Linked DNA regions of Coturnix japonica. The protein of the gene in region 1 interacts with the protein of each later gene in a pairwise test. Links are inferred from orthologs where the notes say so. Each region holds a gene or a part of one and is shown in the gene's direction. Other genes may lie near its edges. The genes, in order: CCND3, CDK6, CRABP2 and RBL2.

What was found.
Region 2: the proteins of CCND3 (region 1) and CDK6 interact in binary tests that used the Homo sapiens proteins (3 or more experiments, as listed by UniProt). The link is inferred for Coturnix japonica from reciprocal best matches to the Homo sapiens genes CCND3 and CDK6.
Region 3: the proteins of CCND3 (region 1) and CRABP2 interact in binary tests that used the Homo sapiens proteins (3 or more experiments, as listed by UniProt). The link is inferred for Coturnix japonica from reciprocal best matches to the Homo sapiens genes CCND3 and CRABP2.
Region 4: the proteins of CCND3 (region 1) and RBL2 interact in a two-hybrid assay, tested with the Homo sapiens proteins (2 studies listed by BioGRID). The link is inferred for Coturnix japonica from reciprocal best matches to the Homo sapiens genes CCND3 and RBL2.

The regions. Positions count from the first base shown.
Region 1 is NC_029541.1:4,739,703-4,746,491, reverse strand, and holds the end of CCND3 (G1/S-specific cyclin-D3), read left to right. Parts: intron 1-1,775; coding exon 1,776-1,935; intron 1,936-2,473; coding exon 2,474-2,616; intron 2,617-4,503; coding exon 4,504-4,665; 3' UTR 4,666-6,344; downstream 6,345-6,789. UniProt on the Homo sapiens protein: Regulatory component of the cyclin D3-CDK4 (DC) complex that phosphorylates and inhibits members of the retinoblastoma (RB) protein family including RB1 and regulates the cell-cycle during G(1)/S transition.
Region 2 is NC_029517.1:20,818,527-20,826,027, reverse strand, and holds the start of CDK6 (cyclin-dependent kinase 6), read left to right. Parts: upstream 1-3,587; 5' UTR 3,588-3,702; exon of another isoform or gene 3,703-3,812; intron 3,813-4,255; exon of another isoform or gene 4,256-4,366; intron 4,367-5,233; 5' UTR 5,234-5,474; coding exon 5,475-5,707; intron 5,708-7,501. UniProt on the Homo sapiens protein: Serine/threonine-protein kinase involved in the control of the cell cycle and differentiation; promotes G1/S transition. Phosphorylates pRB/RB1 and NPM1.
Region 3 is NC_029540.1:635,670-643,223, reverse strand, and holds CRABP2 (cellular retinoic acid-binding protein 2), read left to right. Parts: upstream 1-3,366; 5' UTR 3,367-3,802; coding exon 3,803-3,872; intron 3,873-5,684; coding exon 5,685-5,863; intron 5,864-6,117; coding exon 6,118-6,234; intron 6,235-6,326; coding exon 6,327-6,497; 3' UTR 6,498-6,559; downstream 6,560-7,554. UniProt on the Homo sapiens protein: Transports retinoic acid to the nucleus. Regulates the access of retinoic acid to the nuclear retinoic acid receptors.
Region 4 is NC_029526.1:4,017,745-4,024,533, reverse strand, and holds part of RBL2 (retinoblastoma-like protein 2), read left to right. Parts: intron 1-33; coding exon 34-234; intron 235-1,144; coding exon 1,145-1,209; intron 1,210-3,187; coding exon 3,188-3,316; intron 3,317-3,743; coding exon 3,744-3,904; intron 3,905-3,998; coding exon 3,999-4,063; intron 4,064-4,401; coding exon 4,402-4,588; intron 4,589-4,908; coding exon 4,909-5,075; intron 5,076-5,570; coding exon 5,571-5,680; intron 5,681-6,081; coding exon 6,082-6,185; intron 6,186-6,550; coding exon 6,551-6,688; intron 6,689-6,789. UniProt on the Homo sapiens protein: Key regulator of entry into cell division. Directly involved in heterochromatin formation by maintaining overall chromatin structure and, in particular, that of constitutive heterochromatin by stabilizing histone methylation.

The DNA.
Region 1 (6,789 bases):
AAGAGAATACACTGAGTGATGCTGCTTCCCTTTTCTTTCTTCATTAGGATGTAGCTTGTAGGGAAAACCCAGCTGCTGTGAGGTTTCCAGCCCAAGAGATGTGAGCCAACTGTGGGGAGCTCTTGCAGGGCAGGGACTGGGTATATTCCCATTGATGGGATGCTTTCTGAGTGATGTTGGCAGCTTGCAGCCCTTCCACAGGGAGGTGGGACTCCACAGGCAAGAGAAACAAAGGAAACATTTTCCACTATCTTCCTCTCTTTCATTAGGCAGAGACCGTTGCATTTAGGTGCAAAACAAAATGCCAGGAAAAGGATGTTTGCTACACAGAGTGGTGCTGCTGTCGCAAACGTGCCTCCCTATCTCTTGCAGCCTTTTGTTCAGCTTCTTCCACAGATAAAGTGATTCAGAGATTCTGCCCTGCTGCTCTGAGAGTGGGGAGTCCCAGGAGTGAGCAGGAGGGAAAGGAGGAGCAGGCTGGTGTGGCCAGAGGGCAGCTTCCCCCGTGAGCTGGTAGCAGCCCTTAGTGCCTGTCACTGTCAGCCAGCACTGAGTGCCAGCTAGGGCTCAGAATCAGCCTCTTGTAACGAGGCTTTCGAGAAGCTGAACCTTTTTATTAGCTGGAAGAGAGCTGCTTTTGTGCATTGCAGACAGGCACATGGCACTTCTCTTTTGTGACTCTTCTCATGTCACCTCGCTGTGTTGCTCAGTTGAGTTGGTGGCCATCTCCTATCTAAGCCTGATTTTTTCCCTGCAGAACCAGGCATCCTGAGTGCTCTGTGCTGTGGTCTTCAGGTTCTGGATCTTGTTGCTGCATTTCTTGCTTTCCCTCTGTTGATTTGGCTGAAGAATACAGCGAGCCTGGCAGGCTGGCTGTCCATATGGGAGGCAGTGAGTCTGTTCTAGCAAAGCAGTGCTTTCTGGTTGGAGAAGCACAAGCTGTGAAGCAGCAAATAGCACATTGGGCCTGGCGGGGGATTTGGAGCAGGTTGAGCAGTGCTGTTCATTTAAGCAACTCAAAACCAGTGTTGTTGTTTTGAGGGGAAAGTGAGTTAAGGGGGAAAAAAAGAAAAGAAGGAAATGGAGATCTGCCCTTATGAAAAAATCTCACTTCTTCAAATCCATCTGTTCTGGCAGAGCTGTGGTACTTCTATGGGCAGACTGACCTTGTAATCTTAGACTATTTGGACAAAGAACAGATAATGTGCTGGGCAGGACCGGGCCCTGAAATGGAGTTACCTGATAGGAATCCCAGCTCAGCTCTCCCAGCCCCAGCACAGAGCCGTGCTGTGGTGCTTTCCTTCCCCTGCATGTTTGCAGGGCTGCTGTATTCCCTGTGCTGTGACAACCAGATGGTCCCTGTTTGTCCCACACTGTGCTGCTCCTGGGAGCCTGGGTGGCTCCTTTCAGGAGTGGGGAGGGAGCACAGGACTGATGTGTGTGCTGCTGCTTGCTCCGCTGTTGTTACTGTTGCAGCAGCATTGCAAAGCAAAGGAGTGCCCAGAGGAATGTCTGCAAAGCAGGTGGTTAATCTGGCTGCACCTTGGGAAGAAGAAACCGGATTTGTTGCTTCCTCTGCTCATCTTTGCTCCAGCCTTCACAGCAGCACATGGCTGGATTTGTGCCATAGTCACAGGGCAGGGACGTTCCTCTCTTCCTCCCTGCCTAAAGGGCTGTGCTGCTTTACTGGCCCTTCCCCAGACTCTGTGTGTACCTGGCCATGAACTGTGAATCTCTTCCGGACTTAGCCCTAACGTCTGTCTGTCTTTCTGCAGGACTGGGAAATTCTGGTCTTGGAGAAGTTAAAGTGGGACCTGGTCTCAGTGATAGCAAACGATTTCTTGGCTCACATCCTCTATCACCTCGCGCTTCCTAAGGACAAGATGGAGCTGGTGAAGAAGCACGCACAGACCTTCATTGCCCTGTGTGCCACAGGTGGGTGCCTGTTCCTGCTGGGAACAGCTGCTGGGGAGCAGCCTTTAGTGCCTGCCTTCATTCATGCAGAAGAGCTTTTCTGCTCAGCAGCTTGTTCTCTGTCCCTGACAAAGTAGGAGAAGTGTCCCGGGGGCTCTTAGTGGGTGCCTGGGAGATGGCGGGAGGAGCAGAGCAGCTGTGCCACCCCTCTGCCTGTGGCAGGCCATGTGCTGGAGAGCACGGAGAGCAAAGGCAGCTGCACTGTGAGCCTGGGTTGGCCTTGTTCTGTCAGTGGAGCAAGGTCACCTTTGGCACTTCTTTTGGTGAGAGAGGCCCAGGGAAATAGCTTGGTGAAGCTTGCTGCTGTGATGCTCAGCCTGTTTTCCATTGCTTTGCTCCTGTTTCTCCCTGCTAAGCTGGAGACTCTGCTCTGCCCTCACTAGTTTCCCATGAAAATCAGTCCCAAGAACTTAAGAGCTTGCACACAGCAAGAAAGAAGTAACAAATAAGAAGCTAACAGTTCCTTTTTTTCTCTCATGTGTCCTCATCCTGGTCTTAGACTACACGTTTGCCATGTACCCCCCCTCCATGATCGCAACGGGCAGCATCAGCGCGGCAGTGCACGGCCTGAGCATCTCCGTGAATGGCTTTGGTGGGGAGGCAGTCACCGAGCTGCTGGCCGGCATCACTGGCACAGAGGTGGTGAGTGTCAGCTGGGCAGCAGCAGGGAGGTTTGGCTGTGGGATAAGGTGGAGGCCCTTCCCATTTCTTTAGCTTGGTTTGAATGGAGAGGGGAAATACCTGTCTGTAATGATTCTGGCCCTGGTTTGGTGAAGGCATAAAGGCCAGAGAGCATTTCTAGATGTGCCCATGGCTTCAGGCGGCTCCCGGCCCCCACGTGCCATCTGTGCGGAGAAGGTGAGCTCAGAGCCTTTGAAAAGCAGCACAAAAGGGAGCGTCTGTTCCCTGTGCAGACAGGTGTCGGTGGGATCGGGTTGACCAGGCAGGCTGGGGCACTGGGTGAAGCTGGGCTTGGCATCTGCTTGCCTCCATGGTGTCTGGTTGCAGGTACCCAGGCTGGGGGCATGCAGCGTTACGGGGTAGTGGGGAGCATCCACCTGCCCCTCTGCTGCCCTCTGAGTGGGGAAGGGGTGTCACCAGGCTCCCTGTGTGCTGCTCACTCTGGGTGCTCTGAAGCCGTAGGAAGCTCTTATCCTGCCTGGGCCCCTTTTGATCTTTTCTTCTGTCCCAGCACAAATCCCGGCAGCCGGTGTGGGATTGGTTTCAGTCCCCTGACAGCAGTTCTGGGACTTGGAACTGGTGCCTCTGGCGGATGGGAGGCTGTGACCTGGCTTTGTGCACAGGGAGGGGATGGGGCAGGAGGGTGTCTTGCTTTATTCGTGCAGCTTTTTATATGTTTTTGTTTGCAGGAGCCTTTTTAAAGAGTTAATCAGTGCAGCCAGCTGCTTTCAAGCTGCTGTGGTGAATGGGACAAGGGCTGAAACCTGCTGTGGGCTGGGGTTCGTGGAGGGAACAGGTGGGAAGCAGGGGGGACACTGCAGAGGGAGTGGAGCCAAAACGGTCAGGGACAGCTCAGCTGCCTTCCAGCCTCAGCCAGCCCCTGCCCAGACCCTGCAGCCAGAGGAAGCCCTGGGGATGTCCCTATCTGCAGACAGGCGGCAAGTGGGGGCAGCTCCATGACAGCACGCTGTGCCCTGCGCTGTCCCCTCTGCCTGTCTCTGGGCTGCAGCGTGTTGGGCTGCGCTTACTGGAAGCGGCGCAGGGCAGGGGTTGGTGGGCGTTGCTATTTCTGCTAGCCACATCCTCTGACAGTTTCTAAGAACCGGCAGTGGATTCCTGGTAAGAGATTTCGATGTGTGACAATATCCCCGAGCACACACAGCCCTGTGGTAGCCGACTCGGCTACGGCCCTGAGGTGCAAAATGCCACCTCGTGCTGCTTGGTGACAGCGTGTGGGAGCAGGGCCAGGCTGTGCCCTTCTGTGGTGTGGCTCGTGGTGGTCACAGCAGTGCTTTGGTGAGGTGGGGGAGTTCCCTCCTCTGGTCACATCGGGGTCTGGCTGTATGTAGGTGTGAGTTCTGGCTTCCAGTTGTGCTGTGATGTGCGTGCCATCAGGCTCCCAGTGGGGATGATCTGGTCCTATTTGGGTAGGGGAAAGAGCAGCAGTGGCTGCAGGGACACACAGTGAGATGCAGAGTTTGAAGAGACCGTGAGCCTGAGGGAGGCAGCTGAGTCCCCAGGCCTGTACTTGTGTGTGTATCTGTCCTGAGTGATGGTTGTGGCCAGCCCAGAGATGTTCTGCTCTGCCCCTGAGCTTGGTGGGGGTTGGCTGCAGTGCTGAGCTCACTGCTGCATTCAGTGGGGAGAGGACAACCAGAGCGTGGGACTTCTCCTGGGGAGGGGTGTAAATGACAGGCAAGTTGGAAATGTCTCCTGCAGGAAAAGGGCTTCTCTGTGCTTCGATGCCTGGGGGCCAGAGGTATAATCCAGCAGCCACTCAGAGCTGTTTTAAGGTCCTCACTTCTGAACAGCAGGACTGAAGCCTCTTGTCCCCCCCTTCTCCCACAGGACTGCCTGAAGGCTTGTCAGGAGCAGATTGAGGCCGCCCTAGCCGAGAGCCTGAAGCAGGCATCCCAAAGTCAACAGGAATATAGCACCACCAAGACTGCTGCTTACCCGGCCAGCCAGCCCACCAGCACCCCCACAGATGTCACGGACATCAACCTGTGACTGCCTGCCCCTGCCTGAGAGCTGCCCATCCCCACAACAGCAGGACCCAGCCCCGGGCACCCAGAGCTCACTGCGTCCCCCCAGCCCATCTGAGAGCCCCTGTGCCTGAAGCCTGCTTTGGGGATTCACTCTTCCTGCTGGCTGTGTGAGGACAGCTCCACACTCATCCTTCTCTCCTCCTCCAGCACCATGGGGGGAAGGGGAGGGGAGAGCCAGGGTGAGGGCTGTGGTGATGCAGTGGGGCTCACTGCTGCTTGGACTCTGCTCGCTGGCTGCTGGGGGTGTCAGGGGTGAGCTGGTCTTTCTGTTGGGGGGGGGGGTGTTGCAGAAGAGCTGGGGAGGGTCGCAGATTCCAAAAGGAAATGGTAAAATGTTTCTGTTTGCTTTCTTTGTTGCCTGGATGGCAGATGTCTGCTGTGCTCAGGTGTGTTTACTGCTGCAATGACTCCCAGCTCTGCATGGGCCACCAGTTGTGCACAGCCAGCTCTCACCTGGCTTACGTGACCAAAATATCCACGACCCCCTTGTTGAGCACAGGGCAGGTGCTCGTGGGTCCTGGGTCTGCGCTGCGATGGATGGCTGTGGCTGCAGGGTAGTGTGACTGCTTCTGCTTGGAGAGACGTGTGTGCCTTGTTTCTTGTTGCCATTAGGTCTGGGATTTGCGGGTTCTTGGCTTTGCTTGGGAGAAGTTCTCCCTTTTTTGCATGGATGGCAGAGAAGTGCTCATCCTGGGGACATCCCTGGGGAGACGCGTGGGCGCAGCGTGACACTGCAGCGCTGACCCATGCAAAGTGCTTTGGCTTTCTGCTGCCCCACTGAGGCTGCTTAATTTATTGTTAAGTGCTATGAAAAGGGGAGGGAGGAAGGCTGCAGCTCCGTGCGGTGGGGCCTGGATGCTGCTCTTCTCTCCTTCCTAAAGTGCCTTTATCCTCTGTCCCCTTCCTTCGCTCCCTGGGCAATGGGAGACTCTCACTTGAAGCTGGTTGGCTGCAGGTAGCTCAGATGTCAGTTTAGATTTAGAGAAAAAAGAAAAAAAGAAAAAAAATCACTGAATGTGCTGCTATGGTCTGAAATGCATCTTCACTCCTCCAAGGCAGGGATCACATCGTGTCGGGGGGGCTGTTCTGCATCAGTACCCGAATGGCTCGAGTTGTGTCCTCACAGGGTAGAAAACTCGCTGCGCACTTGAGCTGAAAAGTGATGGCAAAGTGACAAAGTGATGATGGCATTTTGTTGTTCTTGTTGATCCTGTCTGTTCATTTTACAGAAAAAAAGGAAAAAAAAAAAAAAAAGTGTTTTTTAAAGAAAAAAAAAAACCATTCTATAATGCTGCTTTCCTAAGAGAGAACCAATACATTGTAGACTCATATTAACCAGGAATAGCCAGAGAGCCGCTGCTGGGGGTGTCCCTGCACACAGAGCAGCTGCTGAACTGCTCCTGGGGGGGAACCTGCTCTGGGTGCCACCAGAAACAAGTTTATCAGGTGGAAAAAGCTGGGGCTGCTGTGCTCTCACCGCCGATGAATTGCGAGGAGCGTCTGTACAAACAGATTTTTTTATATATATATATATGAGTGAGTTTTAATTTAAGAGTAATCTGTTGTGGTGTTCACATGCAAGTCCTGCTGCTGGGAAAGTTGGAGTACCGTGTAATGTTGCAATAAAGTATTTTAAAGGAGCACGGCGGTGTCAGGGCTTTCCCTTTGCTGCTGTTCCCTGCACAGACGGGGCTGTGCAGCAGGAAGGTGAGCGCGTTGCATTGCGTGTTTGCTGGCAGCTCGGCCGATCTCTCTTCTTATCAGCTTCTGGCTTTTTTAAAGAAAGGAAATATGAACCAGGAAGCCAAGATTAAAAAAAAATGGCTGCAGTGTGTGAGCAGCCCCAGGTGCTGCTCTGCTCCACGGGGAGACACGGAGCCAGGAGGTGCTCAGCACTACACGAAGCTTCAGGGACTGCTCCCCATGGGCCGTGATGCTTCCAGGAGCAAGGACAGGAGCTGGACATCTGCAGGAGCTGTAGTGTCCAGGTGAGCACCCAGGTAAGCGCGGAGCCTTGTGCGATGCCCCGCTGGATTTTACAGCAGAGGTGGCACTTCAAGGCAGCTGCCACGTGTGGGTTATGGCC
Region 2 (7,501 bases), on another chromosome or scaffold:
GGTAGTATCAGAATTAATTCACAGCGTTCTCATTATGCCCCTGCTTCATTAAAAGTAGTTTTAAGATATTGAGTATCCCTTTATTGCTCTTTTGACACACGTGTAACACAGCTACTGAGAGCTGAAAATGGTCCCTGCCCAAGTTCACAACGAGATGCAGTGTCTGGAAGATGCTTTCAGACTTAATGCTCTGTGCAGTGAAGATCCCAACAGCTTTGTTTAGAAAACCTCCCCCAGCTCACCAAAGGGAACTTCCAAAAAGCGCTAATTTATGCTGCTGCTTTGAAATAAATTCTGCCTTCTTCTAAATATTTGCATTCACAAGAACTGACTGATGTCTCTCCTGTGATGGTTGCCCTCCCGTCAGTGTAGGTGTTTTCTTGAGATTAAATATCTAAAAAAAGGAAGGTTCAAAATCATGCCGGCTGAGAATGAAATTATGAGCAAACAACCAAAACCCACCAATAACCCATAACCAAAGTAACTCCTGTTCCCGAAGCTGTACGAACGTTGGTGCTCTGAAGGGCGGCCGTGCGGAACCCTTCTGGTAAGCTCAGCACCAGAATCTCCAGCAGAACCTCCGCTCCCAGAACGCAGATGGAACGCACAGGGCAGAACAGAGCAGCGTCTCATCCTTTCTGAAAGCCTCGAGCTGTTCATCACACTTCTTGGAACTGCCACCACCGACTGCTTTACGCTCATTCTGGTAGTTGCCTGTTACCCATTTCAACACCGCCACATCATTCGCTGTTTCCAGCAACTTCACAGACCCCGCTTTTATGCCCATGGATTATACACAGCAAATAACACGATCTCTTCTTTGTTTCCATGTGGTTTAATCACAGTTTAATTCCAATCCAGGTAACACGTTTGGATTTTCCTGGTTTAAATGCAGTTCGGTAGAAGTTGTTTCTCTTTTTTCCAGTGTTAAAAACACTGGAATTGAACAAAGAAAGTAAAAAAAACCACCCATATTTTCCAAAAGAAAATAGAGATGAAGAGAGAGATCTCCTTTCTTTCTTTGGAGATAAACGTTCCCAATATTTTCCCCAATGCAAAACAAAGCCCTTTAGGTTGAAGTAACTTTAGAATGAGTGACTCATGTTATCCTGCCTGCATTTCATGCCATTTAATGAGCTCCTTAAAACACCAATTTCTCAATGTGTGTGCAAATTGAGAAAAAAGAAGATATCCTCCGTTATAAGTTAGAGATTTATTCATTTTTCTATGGAAAAACCTCCTTTGCCATCACAATGCAAGACGTGCGCTCACTCATTCCAATAGCGATAAAAGCTGCGTTACTTTTAGGAAAGCAAAGCGCAAAACATGTTTAAAATGTTGCTATGAAAGCCTTTTATTCAAAGCCCATTGTTTTGGTGATTTATAATGTCTCTAAATACATATTATTTCCAACACCCTCTGGACTTCAAGCTTTAAAACCAGTGCATTAGGTTTGATAGCTGGGGGTTGGAACTCAATGATCATTGCGGTCCTTTCCAACCCAGGCCATTCGATGATATTTTCTAAGAATCCTGACAGTTTGTTTCAGTAATTTCAGCCTCTCTGACAAATTCTTTGCAGTATCCACTTGGTTTCATGTGGGTATTTAGTTGTGTTTGGAAATTCCTTCCAAAATCCCCCAAGTCTCACGTAAAGAAGACTGAGAAAATGGTTTGAGGTCAGTCTGAGGGTTTTCTGTGGCTCTTTTAAACCTTGGGGACACAGAGGTGTATTATTGACCTTCAGGTGGGAGGAAAGGGGAAGAACAGGGGCAGCATTCTGAGAAGAAATCTTAGTATCACATCACACCGTGCTGAGTGTCCCACTCCTCTGTGTTGGGAATCCACGTGGTTGGACTGAAGGAGCGCTGTCATCTCACAGCAATCTCTATCGGCTTCCCCACACAGCAGATGCTTCTAAAGAGGAGGACCACCGCAGGTACAGCCCCTGATACAGGGAGGTGAACTTCAGCATCCTTCTGACAAATCACACACATCAGAAGTCATTGCAGTTCTGTGCTTTTAAATAAAACATGCCGTGAGCACGAATGAAACTCTTGCAAGGCACGCATGGTCAGCAGCAGACATCCGCATGGCACTCCCTGCCTGCTCAGTGGGACCAGCTCTCCTGGCCCCAGGAGAAAGCAGAGCTGCCCCACTTCTCACCCAGGCACCCAGGAACTGGGAAGGGCACATGGAGCTGTGCTGAGTTCTGGAGCTTGGAACACAAGCTTTGTTCAAGCTATAGGGTTGTATAGATGGTTGGTAGCGCTGCAAATCCAGATGGAGTAATTACATGCTTCTTTCTGATAGGAATTCTATTTGTTTGTACAGTATTAGATCTATCTATATATAAATATTTAGTTTCTGGAAATCACGCAGCGTATGATGCCATACATACAGCACACACTTTCTGAGTTATAAACTCACTTCGTTAAATCACATTTCCCATTTGAAGGAGACCTGGATCCACTTTCTCCCAGTTCAGCCCTGACAAGGGCTGCCCCCGGAGCCACCCCTGGGCCGTGCCGTGTGTTGGAAGGCACAGAGCTGCCAATGAGGCTCCCCACGTGGAGATGGAGCACATGGGTGAAGCGTTGCCGTATTTTTCTTGCGGTGCATTTTAGTACGATTTGCAGGTGCCATAAGGAACACGGGGAGGTGAGGGGGTTACTTCAGCTGGGGGGATTACTTCAGCAAAACGAGAGTTTCTTGGTGGTTCCCCAAAGTGCGTGAGTGCTGTGTGAATAGAAAAGGGGGGAGAGGGAAAAAAAGAAGGGAAAAAAAGTGGGGTGGGGGTGGGGGGGGAATTATGAGGGGGAAAAAAAATAGGGGGGGAGGGGGGGGTGAGGGAAAAAACAAAGTGATTTTTTGGGGAGAGGGGAAAAAAAAAGGAGGTTATTTCCCGGGGAGGAAAAAGCCCATCGCCCGGCGCGGTGATTTCCAGCTCCCCGCATGTCGCGCTGCCGCCCCGCACCGCACAGCGCCGGGACCCCCCGGGGCGATCGGGCCGCGCCGAGCCGCGCCGCTCGCCGCGACCCTTGCGGTATGCGGGCGGCTTGGCAGGGGCAGATGAAGGATTTCATTGAGTGTGAAGACAGAGAGCAGAGACAGAAAGCAGAAGGAGGCGGCTGCAGCCTTTGTAGTCGGGGAGGAATGCGGAAATGTTGAAGCACTATGTCAAACTTTTTTGAAACGGGGTCAAGTCACATTCAGCCAGCGTGGGAAAGCGGGGAGAGAAAGGGAAAAAGGCTTCGGGAGAGGGGAGGAAAAAAAAAAAAACACAACAGAAAAGCAGCGAGCGCTGCCGCCACCGCCGGGGCTGAGCGGGGCTGAGCGGGGCCGGCGGAGCGGAGCGGGGCGGGCGGGCAGCGGGGCCGCTCCGGGGCGGGCTGCGGCCGCGGGGCTGCGGGCGGCTCGCTGCTGCTGCTGCTGCTGCTGCGGCGGCGTCGTTGCTCCCCGGGGGCCGCGATTTTCCTTTTCCCCGGGCGGCGGGGAAAGGGGGGGTCGGGGGGGGGAGGGTGGGAGGCGCGGGCCGGGGCCGAGCGGGAGCTGCCTCCCGCGCCGAGGGGATGCGGGCCGGGGGCGGCCGGGCGGCGGAGCAGCTACCTGTGTGGCCCGGGCGGCCGGGACCTGCCGGAGACATCGCCATGTGAAGGGGCAGACCCCGGCCGGCTCTCCACCCCGCCTCGCTCAATGGGAGGTTTGTTTTAGGGAGGACTCACCCCCTCCCTCCCAACCCCCCCCCCCCCCAAAGGACTGCGGGTTATTTGGGGAGCCGCCGGCGGATCGGGCGGCCGCGGCGCGCACCAGGTAACGCGGGGAACCCGTGTGTGTGCGGCCGCGGCCCCGAGCCCACGCGCGGCCGGAGCGGGGTCAGCGCGGCGTGCGGGGGGCGGCGGGAGGGGAGGGCCCTGCGAGGCCCCGGGCGGACGGCGGATCGCAGCGTGCCCCCGCCGCGTGCGGGGCCGAGCGGTGTCGAGCGGGGGGCCCGGCTCCACAACGCCCCGGGGGAAGGCGGCCGGCGGTGGCGGCGCTGCGGCCGCGAGGAGCCAGGCCCGCCGGAACGCCGGGACGCCGGGACGCCGCCACGCACACGCGCGACGCGCCGCCCGCCGCCGGGGGGCGCCATTCCGCAGGGCCGGGGGCGCGGGGCTGAGTGCGGGGCGCGGGCAGGTGTCCACACGGCGGGGGGGAAAGGGACGGGAGCGGGGACGGGGAGCGGGGCCGCCTCGGGGCGCTTCAACGGCGGGGCTGGGAGCCGCGAGCCGCGGCCGTAGGTGCCGTCAGGGGATCCCCGCCGAGCTGCAGGGACTATTCCTGCTAGAGCGGCGTGTAGGGGGATGCGGCCCCCGGTCACCGTGTGGGTGCGTTGGTTATGAATGGGCGAGGAGGAAAGGAAGGGCTGCCGTGCCGCTGTGAGCGGCGTTTGCTCGTGGCCGTGCCGTGGCGGTGGGGGTGAATCGGGGCGCAGGGGAAGTGGCGCAGCCCCACGCCGTGCAGGGCAGCCGCTGCTCCGGAGCGAGGCTCGCACCCGGCGCCCGTCCCGCTGCAGTCAGCTGGGAGCCACGCTCGGGTCCTAGTAGTGGATCATTAGGCTGCTGAGGGCCGTGCGTCTGTGCTCCAGCAAACGGTGCTCAGAAACATGCTGGTATCTTACGGTACATGTATGTGTGAATATATACGCGCAGTTCTCCACGAGGCAGGAACGTGCGTTCTTGTATTCTTGCAATGCACAGCACAGGGTAGAGTAGCTCCAAGCTGGAGCCTCTCAGTGCTGCCATTTGCACGTGAGTACTGGCTGTACAGCATGGGATGGGCTTCAGGGGCTCCATGTGATTGATGCCCAAGGAACCAAGGAACCTGAGGAGCCTGCCATACTTAACTGTCCCATGAGTGTAGAGATTCTGTCGTCTAATGGAGGATACCACCCACGTCCCTCAGAGTCACGCTCTGCCCATCTCTCAGAAAACCCCCATTGCTTGGGGGAAGCCCAACCATGTGGTCGCTCTGGCCGTGCTGCAGCCTGGGCACATTGCAGCAGTGACCCAGGTTGTGTCAGCTGTGCAGTGACGCTGCCTGGCAGCCTCTGGTTTGCACCTTCCTTTGTGCGTGCAGCTCTCTGCTGTGCTAGCATCATTTTCTCAGTTTTAAGCCGCGCAGAGTAACAAAGTGAAGTAAAGCACAATGGCACCATGTTCTGACTGCTCCCTCTTGCTTGGTCTCTCCTCCAGATCTATCTGCCTTCGCACAGACCATGCTCCCAAAGACTGTATGATCGTTTCTGGTGACCGCCAGCGGAGGCTCAGTGGGGCCGGTGCAGCGGAGCAGGAGGCCGAGGGGTTCCTGCTGCCCCTCAGGCAGAGGTGGCGGCGTGTGGCTGAGCCGCAGTGAGGTGCCGGCTTCAGAAGCGAGCAGAGAGCAGAGCTGTCCTGAGCTGCTCTGGATCCCAGGAGGAAGCGGAGTGGCGGCAGCATGGACAAGGACGGCACCAACCTGGCCGACCAGCAGTATGAGTGCGTGGCTGAGATCGGCGAGGGGGCCTACGGGAAGGTGTTCAAGGCCCGTGACCTGAAGAATGGCGGCCGCTTCGTGGCGCTGAAGCGGGTGCGGGTGCAGACCAGCGAGGAGGGCATGCCGCTGTCCACCATCCGGGAGGTGGCCGTCCTCAGGCACCTGGAGACCTTCGAGCACCCCAACGTGGTCAGGTGAGGCAGCGGGGCCTGCTCTGTGCTGCATGTGCTGGGAAAGCAGGTTTGGGCGCGTGGAGGGCCGGCTCACCGATGGGCTTTGTGGGAAGAGCGAGAGCTCCTTTATGCACATGGAGTGTGGTTTGAGGTTTCGACAGGCCGCGGGGCTGTGCCAGAGCTCACCTCATCCCCGTGCTGCCTCCCACACACACAAACACCCATCTCCAGAGGCATAGGCGTGTGACAGCAGTGCTGGGGTGGATGGCAAGGAGCCCCATACACACCATTTCCTCAGGCGTGAGAGGGAATGAAAACCCAAGGGCTCCCTTTGTCATAGGTATTAGCTCTGACAGCTGCAGCTGATTCTTAACGTCTCATTCATTACCCAGAGATCATGGTTGTAGCATTAGTGGGATGTGCATTCCACTTCTTTAGATGCTTTTATTAATGTTTGCAGATCATTGTGTTAAAGAGGAGGAGATGCCTAAGTCTGAACTTTACAGGCCCTGTGAGTACTGTTTGTTGGTGAATACCCCAGGAGGTGCTGGTGGTGCTACCGAGAGTGCAGCAGGATGAATGCAGGCCTTGCTTCCAGCATGGTGGCAGTGGCTCCAGGTTTCCTTGCTGTTGTGTTGGTTGTGTAAGCTCTGAGTGAATGAGCTCTGTTCTGGGGCAGGTTCCCCATGCAGAGACTGGCTAGCAAGCATCTTTATTTGAATAGACTTGAAAAAGTGAGCTTTGCTTTGAGATCCTAGGGCGTATCATCTTGCAGATGACACTGCATCAGTAGGAATATTTCCTGCTATTTGTATTATTTTACTCACGTATTGCATAGTAAAAGGGAGTTGTTCCATACTTCATTAGTGCCAAGCCTCTCTGGGTCCTGGAGGAATAGAGACGCTGTGGTGACAGAGGTAGCTGTCAGGTTGGCTTGTAGCTGTGGTCACCATGTTTGTCTTAGGGGCTGAGATGAGGGCTTTTTTGGTAGTAAGTGGAGCAGGAAAGGTAGGAAAGGGAATAATTAAAATACAAAAGCCAATAGCTAGAAATAAGTTAGTTTTCTTTCATCTCAAGGCAATGTGATTGAACAGTCTCATTTCTGAGCAAACTGAACACGCAAAGAATGTTTAATGAAGTACTACTCATGGAGTGGGACGCAATAGGATGTTGTAGGTCTCCTTGCTATATCCAAGTGATGGGATGCAGGCTGCAGCTCACACTTTGCCAGTGCTGATCAGGAAGATCCACCATTTGCTCAATATAGTAACCATTATTCTGACAGGCACCCGGTAATGCCACATTGCTTGGTTGCAAAAACCACAAAGATGGAGGTATGTTAGTGTGGGCAGCGTTATGTCTTTGGTCAATGGATCAGGTGAATGGTGCACCCAAAGGCCTTTCTTGGCAATACAGATAATCGAGAGTTCTTAAAATCTCTCAGATCCAGCCTAGTAATGTCAGAGATGACATGCGGATTTAGATGCCCAAGTTTAGATATTTGTGTATGTTTAAAATTGTAAGCCTTCTTTGGGAATGATTAAAGAATGCTTGTGAACTTGATTTTATCACCGAGATCTTTCCATATGAAGTAAAAGATATTTTGAAGTGCATTCTAATTCAGAGATCAGAACGTGAGAGCCATTTCAAATACCATCTCTTCTAAAACAAGAGAAATAAAAGTAACCTCTGTTGTGCACACTTCTAATCAGTAGAGCAGATGTAAGTAGCACTTTGGAGTGGTTGAAATTGTAGCCGTGTAATGAAAGATTATTTGGAAATACTTAAATCATGGCCAGATTAGTAAATACAAAT
Region 3 (7,554 bases), on another chromosome or scaffold:
CAGGGGAAGCAGGAGGCACTTCCCACATCTCCAACTTGAAGGCTCTGCATGAAATCTTGATGTTGTTTGAAATCAAAGCAGTTCAGGAGGGGGCTGGGGAAGAGCTTGCAGAGGAGCAGGCACCAGCTTCAACAGGTCAATCCCAAGGTGTGTTGACCAGGCACAGGGTGCTCCCCCACCTTTAAATCTTGTTTCTTGTGAGCCCATTTTGCAGTCAGGGCTGCACAGTCAATGGAGAGGTACCCATGCCTCATGCAGAGCAGCAGAGCTCTGTTCTCCTGGGCTCCAAGCAGACCCTTGGAGCATGGAGTGACTGCTGTCAGATGTCACCTCCCACCTGTCAGCAGCTGCTTTGCACTGATCTTTCTTTCACTTCTTCATGCCCAGGTATGAGCCAGCCCTGCAAAGTTCCAGCACTGCTGAGACCAGCGTGCAAAGCCCAGGCTTCCTCCCCTTACTTTGGGTTGTATGGACAGAGCTGTCCCCAGCTGGGGACCCCTCATCTGCACCTGAGCCCTGTCGTGGGATTAGAGGAGCAGAGGAACTTAGGGAACAAAATGGGTCCTGCTGGGCTTAATTTAGGTTATGCTCTCTTCTTCTTAACAGTAAGATGAAAACACACTGGCACTGTCCCTCTCTGCTGGACAGAGTGGGCTGGGAACCAACTGGATCTTACCCTTGAGCCCCCTACTGCTGCTATTCCCTTGGCCATGGGCTCTGCCCACCCAGAGTCCTGCTGGGATGGCAGCAGGAGAGAGCTTCAACCCTCACTCCCTTCCCTGCATGAAGAGTGGGGCAGCCAAAACCAACATGCCCAGCCCAGCCTGTTATCCCTGTGCACCTCCTCCATCACTACAGCTCCAGCTGGTGGGCGCTGCCGGAATGGTGTCGGTGCTGAGCAGACCATGGGGAGCTCAGCCAGCCTGGCCGGTGCATCTCAATGCGTAACTGGACGCGACGGTTCTGAATGCACGTCACATTTTCCAGTGTTTTTTGGGGGTGTTTATTCCTTTATGCTCAGCTCTCAGCATGTCCCAGGCAGGGATAAGGGGTGGGAGAGACAATCGTGGCCGGAATAAAGCACTTCCCAACCTCCAGATGTTTGGCTGCGTGACGAGAGCGGCCGAGAGAGAGACACTCATTAAATATCTGTTGGGTTTGGGGATGTCTGGGTCATTAGGAGGGGACAGTGGGGCCCTAGTGCAAAGGATAGGGCCAGACAGCAAAGACTGAGGGGGGAATTTTAAGTGGAGCCCTTTATTTTGTGTATGAACACTGAGGTTTTATCCACTGTGGCAATGAGGGATGCCCAAGCCATGCAGTGGTGGAGGGGCACAGGATCAGGCAGCATGTGCCTCATGTAACATGTGTCCATCACAAAGCTGTTGTGGCCCCCGAGCACAAAGGAAGGTGAGGAGGAACTGGAGAGGCCGGGTGCCTTTGTGTCTGGCTGAGTTTGGAAGCAATTAAAGTGGGGTGGGAGTTTACAATCTGGGTTATAAATGGCCGACCGTTAAAGAAAAAAAAAAGAGATTTTACGTCTGGAAATGAGAACCAGGCAGTCCAGCCCCATCTTGTCAGCAGATGGTGCTGGGTGAGCCCATGCTTAATGGAGCTCCTGGGGGGTCACAGCCTGGGGATGGGGGGCTCACAATGGGGTCCCATGGGTGCTGTGCTGCTGCTGTGCACCCTACAAGGGGCTCAGGGTTATCATTGTGGTCACTCCATACAGCTGGGGGCACTGGGGGGGCTGTAGTGGTGTTCAGATGGCTGCGGTTTGCTGGGTGTATTGCAGTGCCAGCTGTTTCCAGTGGCTGATCGAGCTGTGCAGCTGAATGTGGGAGCTCCGTGGCTCCAGCATAATCCCCATCTCCATACACAGCCATCCCGGGATGAGTGGCCCCATGCGGGTTTGTAGCCAGAGCCAGAGCTTCATGGGCCAGGAATGGGGGGAACAGAGAGGGTTTATCCCCACCCTTCCCCATGCAATTCCTTCCAGATGTGGAGCTGTCTGGGGGTTCTACCCTGTTGCATCCTGAGGGCTCATTGTGAGGGTCTGCAGCTTTGCTTGCACCCCACCCTTGCTCCCCTGCAGCCGGTTCTCCTGGAAATGTGGCATTTCTTTATTTTTTTTTTCACTCTTTTCTCCAAATATGGGGGTAAAACGTTCAGCATCATTCATCCCCTCTGTGTGCCGGAGGGGACATAGATCCTGTTACACAGGGATGAAAGGGATGGTGGAGGTGACCCCCTGTTAGACCCCCTCCAACTCTGCCCTGGGGGGTTGCAAGGGTGGGTGCAGTGTGAGGTTTGTTCCTTTCTCTATGATTCCAATGCACGGAGCATCGGCAACGCTGTAGGTAAGGTTATGTCAGCCCTTTTGTTACAAATCCTGTTCTTCGGGGGATTAGAGGCATGCTGCAAGCCAGGGCTTGGCTCACAAAAAATCACAGCCCAGATATTTGGGGGCGAGGAAATCGGGGCCAGGAAGAGGGGAGGTAACTCATAGGAAAAGGGGTTTCAGGGATAGGAGGGAGCTGGAAGGCACTTCTAAATGTGTAAGCAATGAACTCAGCTTTACTGTTGGTTCATATGGGCTGTGATATCCAGCTGATGGGTGCCCTCAGCACCCTAAATGTGCTGTGGGACAGTCTGCTCTCCTGCATACAATGGGGATAGTGGCAGCATGGACATGACTGAAGGTGTCCAGCACAGCATAGTAATCTATTCACCCTCTATTTTCACTCCCAAAATCTTGTCTCCTTCCTTTTCAGGGCTGCCAATAGATCAAACATCATTTATTGTGCAACAATGGGATGGCATCAAGGCACAATGTGCCCCACACAACTCCTTCCTCGGGCATCTCACCAGATAGAAACCCCAGCAAACGATTCATCGTGCTCTAAGCAGATCCAATCTATCAGAGCTTTAATCTCACATTAGCAGTTAATCTTGCTTTCCCCCCCAGGCCTGCAGCCAAAGCAAACTTCCCTCAGCCCAGCACAGATCAGTGGGTTCTGTTTTGGGCACGGGGGCTCAGGATAGAGCGGGGCTTGGGGGGGCTGTGGAGAGGATGGAGGTAGATTAAGTGATGCAAGAGGTATTGGGGAGATATGGACAGCAGGAGGGTGATAGGGATTTGGAGTGGGGGGGGGATGTGGGAAGCTTGGGGGGGATGTGGGTAGTTTAGGGGGGATGTAGATTTGAGAGAGGTGCAAGCTCGGGGGGCAGATTGGGGTTGAGTGGGGAGATGATGCTATAAAGGGGGATGAAGCTATAGGGGGGATGTAGGCAACATGTAGGGAGATGCGGGTTGTTTGGGAGGGACCTCAATAGGGGAGATGGGGGCAGTTTTGGGGGGGACGTGTGAAGTTTAGAGAGGCTCTGGAACTTTAGGGAGATGCTGCAAGTTTTGGAGCTGATGGATGATTTTGGAGAATTATGGAAGTTTTGGGGGAACGATGGAAGATATGGGGATGAATGAGGGGTGCCCGTATTCCTCACCCCCCACCCTCAATTCCCTCCCCACCCCCCCGGGCTGTGCCGGTGCTCGGCCCCACAGGTGAGAGTAGCATGGGGCTCCTCCGGCAGCGGGGACGGGGCGGGGGCGGAGCGGGTGAGCCCGGCCATAAAACGGCAGCGCGGGGCCGGAGCCCGATTGAGCTGCAGCGGGGTGGGAGAGCGGCGGTGCCGGTACCGGAGGAACAAACGGAGCGGAGGTGCCGGTGCCCCTCGGTGTGTTTCCACCACCTGCTCCTCTCAAGCACCATCACCCCTTCCCCTGTGTCCTCGGTTCGCCGCGATGCCCAATTTCTCCGGGAATTGGAAGATGAAAAGCTCCGAGAACTTCGAAGAGCTGCTGAAGGCGTTGGGTGAGTGCGAGCCCCTATGGATGGGTGAGGAGAGGGGGGGAGTCCGGTTCCTATCGCCCCCCAAAACCCTCCAGCATCGCGGGTCGGGGATTGGATATAGAACCCCCAGGGCTCCCCAGCCCCTCTGCTCCCTACCCCTGCATCTCGCAGCCCACCCCATTCTTTTTCCCCTTGGGGAAACTGAGGCACAGCTTGGATCCCCCCACCCCCCTCAGCTGCAGCCTGAGCTCCTCGCTCCCTTCTGCCTGCCTCAGTTTCCCCACCACAGTGGTATAACTCTGCACTGCACACCCTCAGGCTCTCCCTGCACTAACCCCCTCCCCCAGCACCCCACACCCCAATTGCATCCAATGGGATGGAGTGTGGTGCCCCCAAATCCAGCCCCAGCCTGCAGAGCTCAGTTTGTCCCTCACTTCTCCCCCTCTCCATCCCCCCCTCAGCACTGCAGGTCCTAAGCATGGAGACACCACGGGGGTCTCAAGGTTTTAGGCAAGGCTGGAGCCCCCCTACTGCTCTCCTTTGCCTGACCCCTCCCCACCCGCCGAGGAGTCGCTGGAGCCGAATATTTTCCAAGTTAGGGGATACGTAACAAATACTTCAGTATAATTATCACTTTCTTGGATTTCATTCCCTCTTCGCCCCCTCCTCCCTCTTTTCCCCCCTCCATCACCGCCCGGTGAAGCGGTGCAGGGAAACCTCATCAGGAAAATCAATCTGCCGGGCTCAGAGCAGGCTTTGCCTTTCCCACGCAGCACATGGGGCTCCCCCTCAGCCCTGGGTGACACCCCCTCCTCCCTCCTTTGGAAGCACTGTGCTACCCCCATGGCTCCTACTGCCTTTGGGGGGGGGGCACTTTAACTTCATGCCCACACAGGGGGTGTTATTTAGCATCAGGGTGGGAGCAGCCCTAAATGGATGCATCTGTTCCTGGTGCAGGTTTTGTTCCTCCAGGGATGCTCTGCTCTGTCTGCAGGGACCCTCCCCCCTTCCCCGGGGTTACGTGGAGCTGGATGGAATTGGGGAGGGGGGCAACGGGGTCCTGGCCAAGCGCCGACCTGCTGCCTGAGGGTCACACCATGGGAACAATGTCCCCAAAGAGCAGCTCCCTGGGGAGCGGGGCCGCCTGGGTGACAGCCTGGGGCTCAAGGCATGATGGATGAGCCCCTGGGGGAGTGGGGACAAAGCCGCAGCTGCACTGTGGTTAACAAGAAGGGGAGGGGGCTGTTGGGGAACAGTGATGGGTATGAGACCCCCCCCCCCTAGTCCTTCAGCCCCCAGATGTGGGGCAGGAGCCCTGCACCATGTCCCCGCCGTCACCCCATGTGCCTCCCAGTCACCCTCAGGCACATCCGGAGCCCACACAACTCTCCCCCCCCCCCCTACACTGAAGGTAACGAGCACCAGATGTGGCCCAGATGTGCAGATGGGGGTTCATTAAACCCCCCCATAGACCCTTCCACCCCCCCATTTCCATGTTGTGCTGTCTGCAGAGCTCGGGGTCCTCCCAAACTGTGTCACTGCCAAGTCATGGCGAGGGGGTTGGGGGGCAGCCACGTGCCCCCTGCCCTGAGCTGTTCTCTCTGCAGGGGTTTATGGCATCAAGCCTTGAGTGCAGAGGGGGGGGGGTGTTTGCACGACCTCGTGATCCCCATCTGCAACCAATTCCATAGTAAAGTAGCAGCATCTGTGGCTCAGCAAAGCTCTGGAACACTGTCCCAAGAGACACTTAACCTCCCCTCTATGGGTCACACACCAGGCCAGGCAGTCAGGATATGGGGAAGGGTCAGTCTGACACCAGTCCCCTGCTTGCAGGAGTTAATATGATGCTGCGAAAGATCGCGGTGGCTGCAGCCTCGAAACCAGCAGTGGAAATCAAGCAGGATGGTGAAAGCTTCTACATCAAGACCTCGACCACAGTGCGCACCACTGAGATCAGCTTCAGGATCGGGGAGGAGTTCGAGGAGCAAACGGTGGATGGGAGGCCCTGCAAGGTGGGCTATGGGCTGAGATACACCAGCCTTTGTGCATGGATGTGATGTGTGTGTGAACACACACACGTGTGAGCATGAATCTGTGTAAATGTGTCCCCTGCCCCCAGGTGATACATGAGCCTGGCAACTGCTGGCTGTGGGGACAAATGGGCCCCATCTGTTAGGTGGTGATGGATGGTATCGCCTGGTGGGGCTGGGGGCTGCTTCACATCTCCCCCCCTAACCCAGCTCTCTCTGCTGTCTCCCCTCTTTAGAGCTTGGCCAAGTGGGAAAGTGAGAACAAGATGGTGTGTGAACAGAGGCTGCTGAAGGGTGAGGGACCCCGGACGGGCTGGTCCAGGGAGCTGACTAATGATGGGGAGCTCATCTTGGTGAGTGGGGGGGGGGGGGAAAAGAGGAGGGTAAAATGGGGGGGTGGGAGGAAGCTCCTGGAATGGGCAATGACTGTTGCTCCTTATTGCAGACCATGACAGCCGATGATGTTGTCTGCACCAGAGTGTACATCCGGAGTGACACCACCAACCATCACCCCACAACGGCTCCATTCCCCCCCCCCCCCACCCCACACTTTTCCCATGGCCCTGTGTCCCCCTGCCCCCCTGTAGCTGCCTCGTGTCCCCCCCCATCCCTGTGACTATGGGGGTGCACTGAGCAACAGGGTGTCGGGGACCACCCCATCCTTTGGGTTCGAAGTTTGTTTTGGGGGGGGTTTATAACTGTTTTTGACCTCACAGCCGGTGCTGCACCCTCACCCTGCCCTGCAGCCCTGCAGCTCTTCTTGCTCTCCCTCCCTCCCCAGTATTTATTTGTGAATAGTTGAATGGAATGGAAACACTCAACAGCTCCAGTTCGGCGGTGCCTCGAAGCTCCGACCCCTGGGAACGTCTCCTCACCCCCCCCCCAACCCCACCCCCCCTTTCCCCTCTCCTGTTTCTAATAAAGCTCCGACCCCCACCGCTGTCCCCATCCCTCCCGGCCCCGTTTGCGTGCGTTGTTCCCTCTCTATGCCACAACCCCAATGTTGCGCAAAGGGCCGGGGGCAGAGGCGGTGCCGGGCTCTGCATCGTGCCACATCCCTGCGTGGGAAGCACGGGGCACCCGGAGCCCCTATGGGGTGTAGGGCTGGTGGGGTAATCCCAATTGATGCCATGGGGAGATGCTCATGGTGCCCCCATACTGTGTTAATGGCCCCAGGGTGGGCGATGAGATGGAGAAGGGAGGGGATAGGGGGCAGATAGGGGGGGTTCCTCGGCTATAAGGTGGGTGTGGGGTTGTTGTATAGGGAGCACTTGGCTCTCTCCATTTTAGAAGGCGGCGTTGGTGTTGAGTGCCTCCTGATGAGCATCCTGCCCTTGGCAATCTGATTATATGGGGAAAAGCCAACAGGAAAGCAGCAAACCTCGGTTATAGGGCTGAAAGCTTTAGGGGTAGAGAGACACAGGGGCTACTGTGCTGCTTCCCTGGGTGTGTCGGTAGTGGCAGCAGGGCTTTACCAGGAGTGGATGGGAAACAAAAGATGTGCCCTGGGAAGACGGGAGCGGCTGCAGATGCCTTTGGGGTGACGCAAGGATGGTTGAGGGGGGGGGTTAAAGGAGGGGGGGATGCTGTAGGTTCCTCTATGGGGGAGAGTGGTGGGATTACAGCTTTGGGGGGGAGGGAATGGGGGGATGATGGAGCAGTTCTTTGCCTCC
Region 4 (6,789 bases), on another chromosome or scaffold:
CGCTCTGAGCTCTAACCTGTTCAATGTCTTCAGCTTGATTGAGTTCTTTAACAAGATGAAGAAATGGGAAGACATGGCAAACCTGCCCTCCCAGTTCCGAGAAAGGACTGAAAGGCTGGAGAGAAACTTCACTGTTTCTGCAGTGATTTTTAAGAAGTACGAGCCCATTTTTCAGGACATTTTCAGATACCCTCAGGAAGATCAACCCCGTCAGCAGAGAGGAAGGAAACAGAGGTACAGTTCTGTTATGTCCAGACTGATGTTCGGCTGTTGCTGTTACAAGAAGCTGCTTGGTTGTTCTATCTGCATTTTAACTTACTTCCTTAGTGGTTCTTTATGGTACCAGAGTTGGTCTGTTGGCCTTCATTACAGCACATGTACAGTTCTGCAGTTAGTTGAGTGAGCCCTGCTAGTCTGTTTGCATAGCAGAGCAGGAACTCAGTTTGAAGGTTAAGTCAGAATTATCCATTCCAAATTCTTATGTGAAATGTCTAAGCTTTTAACATTTAACACCATTCCTTACATAACCTGGTGGAGTAACCAAAGAAATGAGTGCAGGCTGATAAAACTACTGCAGAAATTGAGAACAACACCTCACTGTGAGTGAATTTGGCCTGAATGAAAGAATTCTCAACTTCAGTATGTGGTAGGGTGGGTACAGGACTCCTGATGGACAGGAGGGCCTCATGGTTAGGACTAGTGGAGGAACCTGGTGCTGGTAAACAGCTGTAGTGCAAAATTCTCCATAGTATGTAAAATTTTATACAGAAACACAAAACACTTCAGCAAAGTGTGTAGGTGAGGTCTGTGAGCAAACAGCTTATAAAACCCAGTGTGCTGTGTGACGTGTGCCTTGCAGGACGTGCACATGTGCTTACATTGCTCACAGTACTTCAGAAGGCATCCCATGTGTGCTGCTTTGTTGGTGATGTTTGAATCGCTGCTGGCTGAGGCTTCAGCTGTGTCTGCTGTGAAGCTCTGAGCAGCTACTGCATTATTTCAGACCAGTTCTTACTTTTGTTATTTTTTGAGGGGGAGGGATACAGTTCAGATTTTAGCTGCTCTGTGGCAAAGCAGCTCTTTGAGAACGATGGGATGTCTGTCCATTGTAAGTCATTGAGCTTCTTGTGTTTTCCCCCCAAAGGCGACAGCCGTGCACAGTGACTGAAGTTTTCCAGTTCTGTTGGGTGCTGTTTGTTCATGCGAAAGGTAAGAGATCTGAAAGGGGCTGAATACCACAAACCCCTTCTTGTTAGTCTGTATCAGTCTGTAACCGTGAGCCAGCTGCAGGCCCTTCAAAGAAAGTGCCTCCTTGGAGCAGTCTGAACGAATGCACCTGAATTCCTGCAGCTGTTTGTTTTCCCAGCTGTCGGAGGTGAGCACTGTGCCCTGCCAGCCTGGTAGCTTTATCTGAAATACTGCTCCAGGGTTTGCTGTATTTTGGCGATTTAGGCTGTAATACTAAAAGAAAATCAGCTCAGAGTTGTAGTGAATTCATATTTTGATAGTTGTAATTAATGTAAATTATTGCTTTATGTTCCCTAGGAACAAAATGATTTTAATTTCCTTATAAGTTTCAAATAACAGTGATAATACATAATGGATTCTGTTCTGTAACACAGAACTGTGTCATGAGGCTGTAGCTGAGGGGACTTTCGAGGCACTCTCACAGGTAGCACTTGGATTTGTTCACCTAAGTGCCTGGCTGGAAGACTCAGATTCCCTTGGATCATACATGTGAAATGCTCTGTTAACAGGCTTCCCTGGAAACAAAGCAGGGAGGAGCCGGTATATTGCCGTGCAAGTATTGCCTTTATTGTAAGAGCACCCTTAAAGCTGATATGAATAGCAGAGGATTTCAGTCATTTTTCTTCTTTAATGACTGATTGGAGAAAAAGACAGAAGGGAATGGAAGTAAATCCTTTTGTATGAGGGGCAGTGAAGCTCCCCAGCATTTTTGGCTTAAGTTGTTCAGTTGTACAGCATCATCTACAGTAGGAATTGATTCGGGTACGGTCAGGATGGGTTCACTGGGAGTCCTTTGAACGTAAGTTAGGTCGTATTCTGGTCCTTCTGTAATTTCCAGGGAGTTGTTTTATTATTATAAGAACTTCATGAGAAAGGAGAGCTTGTGGGACTGCTTGGGATTGCAGGGTCAGTCAGTGTAGGCTTCCTGCAGTATCTCCCTGGTTGTTTCTGAGGATAGGACGCAGTACGTTGTCTCACTATGGACTTTCTGGCAGTAGCTCTGTCCTGTACAGCTGAGCCTTTCTATTCACCACCAAGCAGAGCGCTGCCAGCAGGCTTCATTTGGGAAAAGTCACTGGCAATATCCCTGGATCTTTGCAGGCATGTGAAGAAAGGTGTGATGCTGTACCAAACAACTGTGTCCTGTGTAGAAGCTGCTTCATAGGCTGCAAGTTGCTCCTGAACAGGCACAGAGGGTCTGGGCAGGTCTTGTTCCTGCTGAGTGTTGGTTGGTATGTTTGAGTAAGCAGGTCATCATTAAGTACGTGTTGACTGGCAAACAGTTTCAGACGTACAGATTAACTCTGTGGACTGGAACACAGTGTTGATAACAGCCCATTAATTTTATGAGACAAACAATTACAGTACTTATGAACTGCAAAATTAATAAGTGACGAGTGGTACCTTATGAAGTGTGGCAGTACAACAATGTGAAGTGAATGTGCACCACTGGAGGAATTGAATATTCCCCATTTGTTTGCTGTGTTTTGAGGGCCGGCAGTAATCCTTAGCGTGGCAACCACACATCAGCAGCAAGTTGAGGCTTGTCGCCGTGATATTTCTGCAAACCTCAGCATCTTGTGTTTGGTTTCACAAGTCAGAAAGCGTCAGTCTTGTTCCTGCACTTGGTGTATGCTGCAAAGGAAGGTAGTGACCCTTGTGGCCATAGAGCTGCTCTCATCTGCTGAACTTATTTATAGACTCTGATCAGAAAACTGAACATAAAGGTGAACAAACGCAATGATATGTGCTTTGTTTTAGCTGTGTCTGTTTTACTCCCTGTGTTTCGATCCAGATATTGACAATCCGGTCACCAAAATCTGTGCTTAAAATACTCCACTGTTGATTGGAAATGCAAATCTTGATAGTTCTGTTTTGTGAAATAATTTCAAGTCTATGCTGCTTTTAATTAATCTCATTTATCTTTCTTGTTTTGAAGGTAATTTTCCCATGATCAGTGATGACTTGGTCAATTCCTATCATCTCTTGTTATGTGCTTTGGATCTGGTGTATGGAAATGCTCTCCAGTGCCCCAACCACAAAGAACTTCTGAATCCCAATTTTAAAGGTATGTTGGGAAAAAAAAAGTCTTTATCTAAAATCTGCACAAACCTCTGAGGCTGCTGAAATGGATGTGAAGGTGGGCGGTAGGCAGAATGGTATGGTTCATTTTCAGTACTGTGTTGTATTGTATTGTATTTACTGAATAAATAATACTGAACTTATTTGAATAAATATTACAGCTCATAAGTGCTTCATCATTTGTCTATTAGAACCGATGCTATTTATCACTGAATATCTGAGCTCTTTGGGTTTGTCACTTGAAAGGCAGTTCTGATAAGATTATCCAGTTGAGGGTGTACAGCTTTTCTTTCGAGGGGACAAAATAGTTTTCTGTTTTAATTTCAGGCTACATGGGCATCATAGCAAAGAATGTGAGTTCACTAAGGTATGACTATTCGGAATCAAACAGTACTTCCTTTGTCTCTCTATAGGTCTGCCTGAAGACTTTCACAGTAAGGATTATAAAACATCATCTGACCCCCCCTGCATCATTGAAAAGCTGTGTTCATTACATTACGGATTAGTTTTAGAAGCAAAAGGCATCAAGGAGCATTTTTGGAAGCCGTACATTCGGAAACTTTTTGACAAGAAGGTTGGTGGGTGCATTCAGGATGCAGAAAATGCTTCTCTACTTGTTGTCTTCAGAACTTTAACGACTGCCGTGTCTCCGTTCTTTGCTCTTTCAGCTCTTAAAAGGAAAAGATGAAAATCTGACTGGATTTCTGGATCCTGGAAACTTTGGAGACAGCTTGTGAGTCAGCTTGTGCTTTGGTCTGCATTTGTGTCCCTTTGGGTTATTACCTGTATCTTATCACTAATACTAGCTAGTTAATTTATAGATATATTACTATTTATATATTATATTAAAAGGCATTTCAGCTCTTTGCTGGTTGAGGCCTTTTCAGCATAGCATTGCTCGATGTCTGCTCTTGTTCATGTTTCCATGGTCTTTTCTATACGATGTAAAGCGTTAGGAAGAAAAAGCAAGTTCTGAGGCCTTCAGATAGGCCAAGAAGTGTGTTCAGTCAGAAAGCAGGTAGTGAAAGCGCTGTCTAAACTAAAGGGCTTTTTTTCTCTTTTCCCCTGTAGCAAAGCCATCAACAAGGCCTATGAGGAGTATGTCTTGTCAGTAGGAAACCTCGATGAGCGAATATTCCTCGGGGAGGATGCAGATGAAGAAATTGGAACTCTCACACGGTGCTTAAATACACCCTCAGGAATGGAAACAGCTGAGCGAGTACAAGTGAAGCATAATTTACAGCAGCACTTTGACAGAGTGAGTCTGGCACAGTCCTTTGATGTTCCTGTGGAGAAGGAGTTGTCCAATTGTGGCGTTTCAGCGTGAGGTCATTTTGTCACTGCTCAGATACTTCTGTGTTAGTATTTGACACAGGCATCCAAGCCACAGATAGACCTGATGCTGATGGTTGTTACTGGGAGAGAACTGGTTTGGGTTGTTTGATTCCAGCTCTCCTTTCATAGATAGATATATATTGTAACCAGCTAAGAAACAATTCTAGCACCTGACACTTTAAGTCTCTTACAAGGTCTGAGTGCTGTAATAATGTACAGAGAGATGCTTTGTTTTCTTTCTAGTCTAAATCGCTTCGGATGTCGACCCCCCTCACTGGCCGCAAGTACATTAAGGAGAGCAACCCCTATGTGACACCCATTTCCATAGCAACGTACAGCTTGAGCCGCCTTCACACCATGCTGGCGGGGCTGAAAAATGCCCCCAGTGAAAACCTGGAGCAAATCTTCAGGTAACTTTGATGCTTAGCTACAAAAGTTAGAAACTATAATAACAAATGTGAAATAGCGTAACTTAAAAGGTAAAGTGTTGGAAGCCTGGAGTGAAATAGGAGCCAGAGGGACATTCAGCTTCAGAAAGGCTCTTGTCTTTATTTCTGCACGTTTATCCTTGAGAGATCGACAGTGATAACAACACCCAAATTTGGAGCTTCACTAACAGCAAACTGCCATTGCAATTTTTTCAAGCCTTTTCTTATTAATTCACATTGGAATACGTTGTTTAGTATTAAACTCTTATGACGAGTTGACGCTCACTGCAGTAGAATTTGCTGTGGATGTCTCACAGTGCATTTCCAGCAAGGCACGTGTGGGTGTGTTTGCATTGCTGTCTATCAAAGATAATTTACAGCTTCATGCTTTAATCCTATTGTAGGTTTTTTTGGTGTGTGTGTATTTGTGTTTTGTCTTAGCAGAAATAGAACACTTAAACTAGCTTGTATTTTCAGGGCGTGTTCCAGAGATCCCTCACAGTCTATTGCAAACAGAGTCAAAGAAATGTATGAAGTGTATTGTCAGAGCATGCAGACTGAAGAAGAGTTCAGTAATTTGTCCAAAGGTGGGAAACATTTTACTTACATAAACAGGAATTCACATGTATTTAAAAACACTGATCTCTTCCAAGTAAACTCTGCCTTATGTAGAGGCTGTGCTTTAGCACAAGAGTCTTTTCTATTTCTTCTCTCTTTGCCTGCTAGTCTTACAGTAGGGCAACTTTCAACCCTATATAAACTTCCATAATCATACTTGGCATAAATCATAGGGACTTGATGATTTTTCTATGATGTTTTACAGGAGGGTGGAAAGAAAAGCACTCAGAATTGTTCTTCTCTCAAGGGTGCCTTTTTGTCACAGCTGCACAGGAGTCCACACAAGCAAATAAGCTGCTGCTTTATCACTGTAGTTTAAGATGAATGATGACACCTTTACTGCAGTTCACAATATTATTTGTGTTTACAGATGTGGCCAGCAAGCATTTCCGTCGTGCTGAGGTGCTCTACTACAAGGTTTTGGAGGCAATCATTGAGCAAGAGAGGAAGAGACTGGGAGACGCTGACTTATCTGTAAGGACAACTACTCCAATTGCACCTTATGTTTCAAGTTGGATCTACAAAAAAGGAAATATTGATATATATTTATAATATTTTATTACATACTGCTATTTTAAATGAGTAAATCTCCCAGGTAGTTGGAAGGTGTACCTGAATGGAAGGAAAACTACAAGAAATTGTTTGTTTGAGAACAAAAATGGTATATGAAATTTATAAAGAGTAAAGATGTCTTCATTTGGATTCTGTTCCATCAGGTACAAAGGGAAATCCCATGTTTAAAAGCTGGGTAATGTTGCTGTGGAGGCAGAATAGAAAGCATGATCCTGTTGTGTTGTTACACTGTAGATGAAGCATTAAAACAGACAACTCTCTTGCAGGCTGTACTGGAGCAAGACGTGTTCCATCGCTCCCTGCTGGCGTGCTGCCTTGAGATCGTCACCTTCACATACAAGCAGCCTGGAAACTTTCCCTTCATCACAGAAATATTCGACATTCCAGTTTATCACTTTTATAAGGTAAAGTGTTTAATAGCTAGAAATGTTGATCAAGCCCTGCGTACTCAACTTGTATTAAATAATCTCTTTACCTGAATGCTAAAATGTGAACTAACTTCATT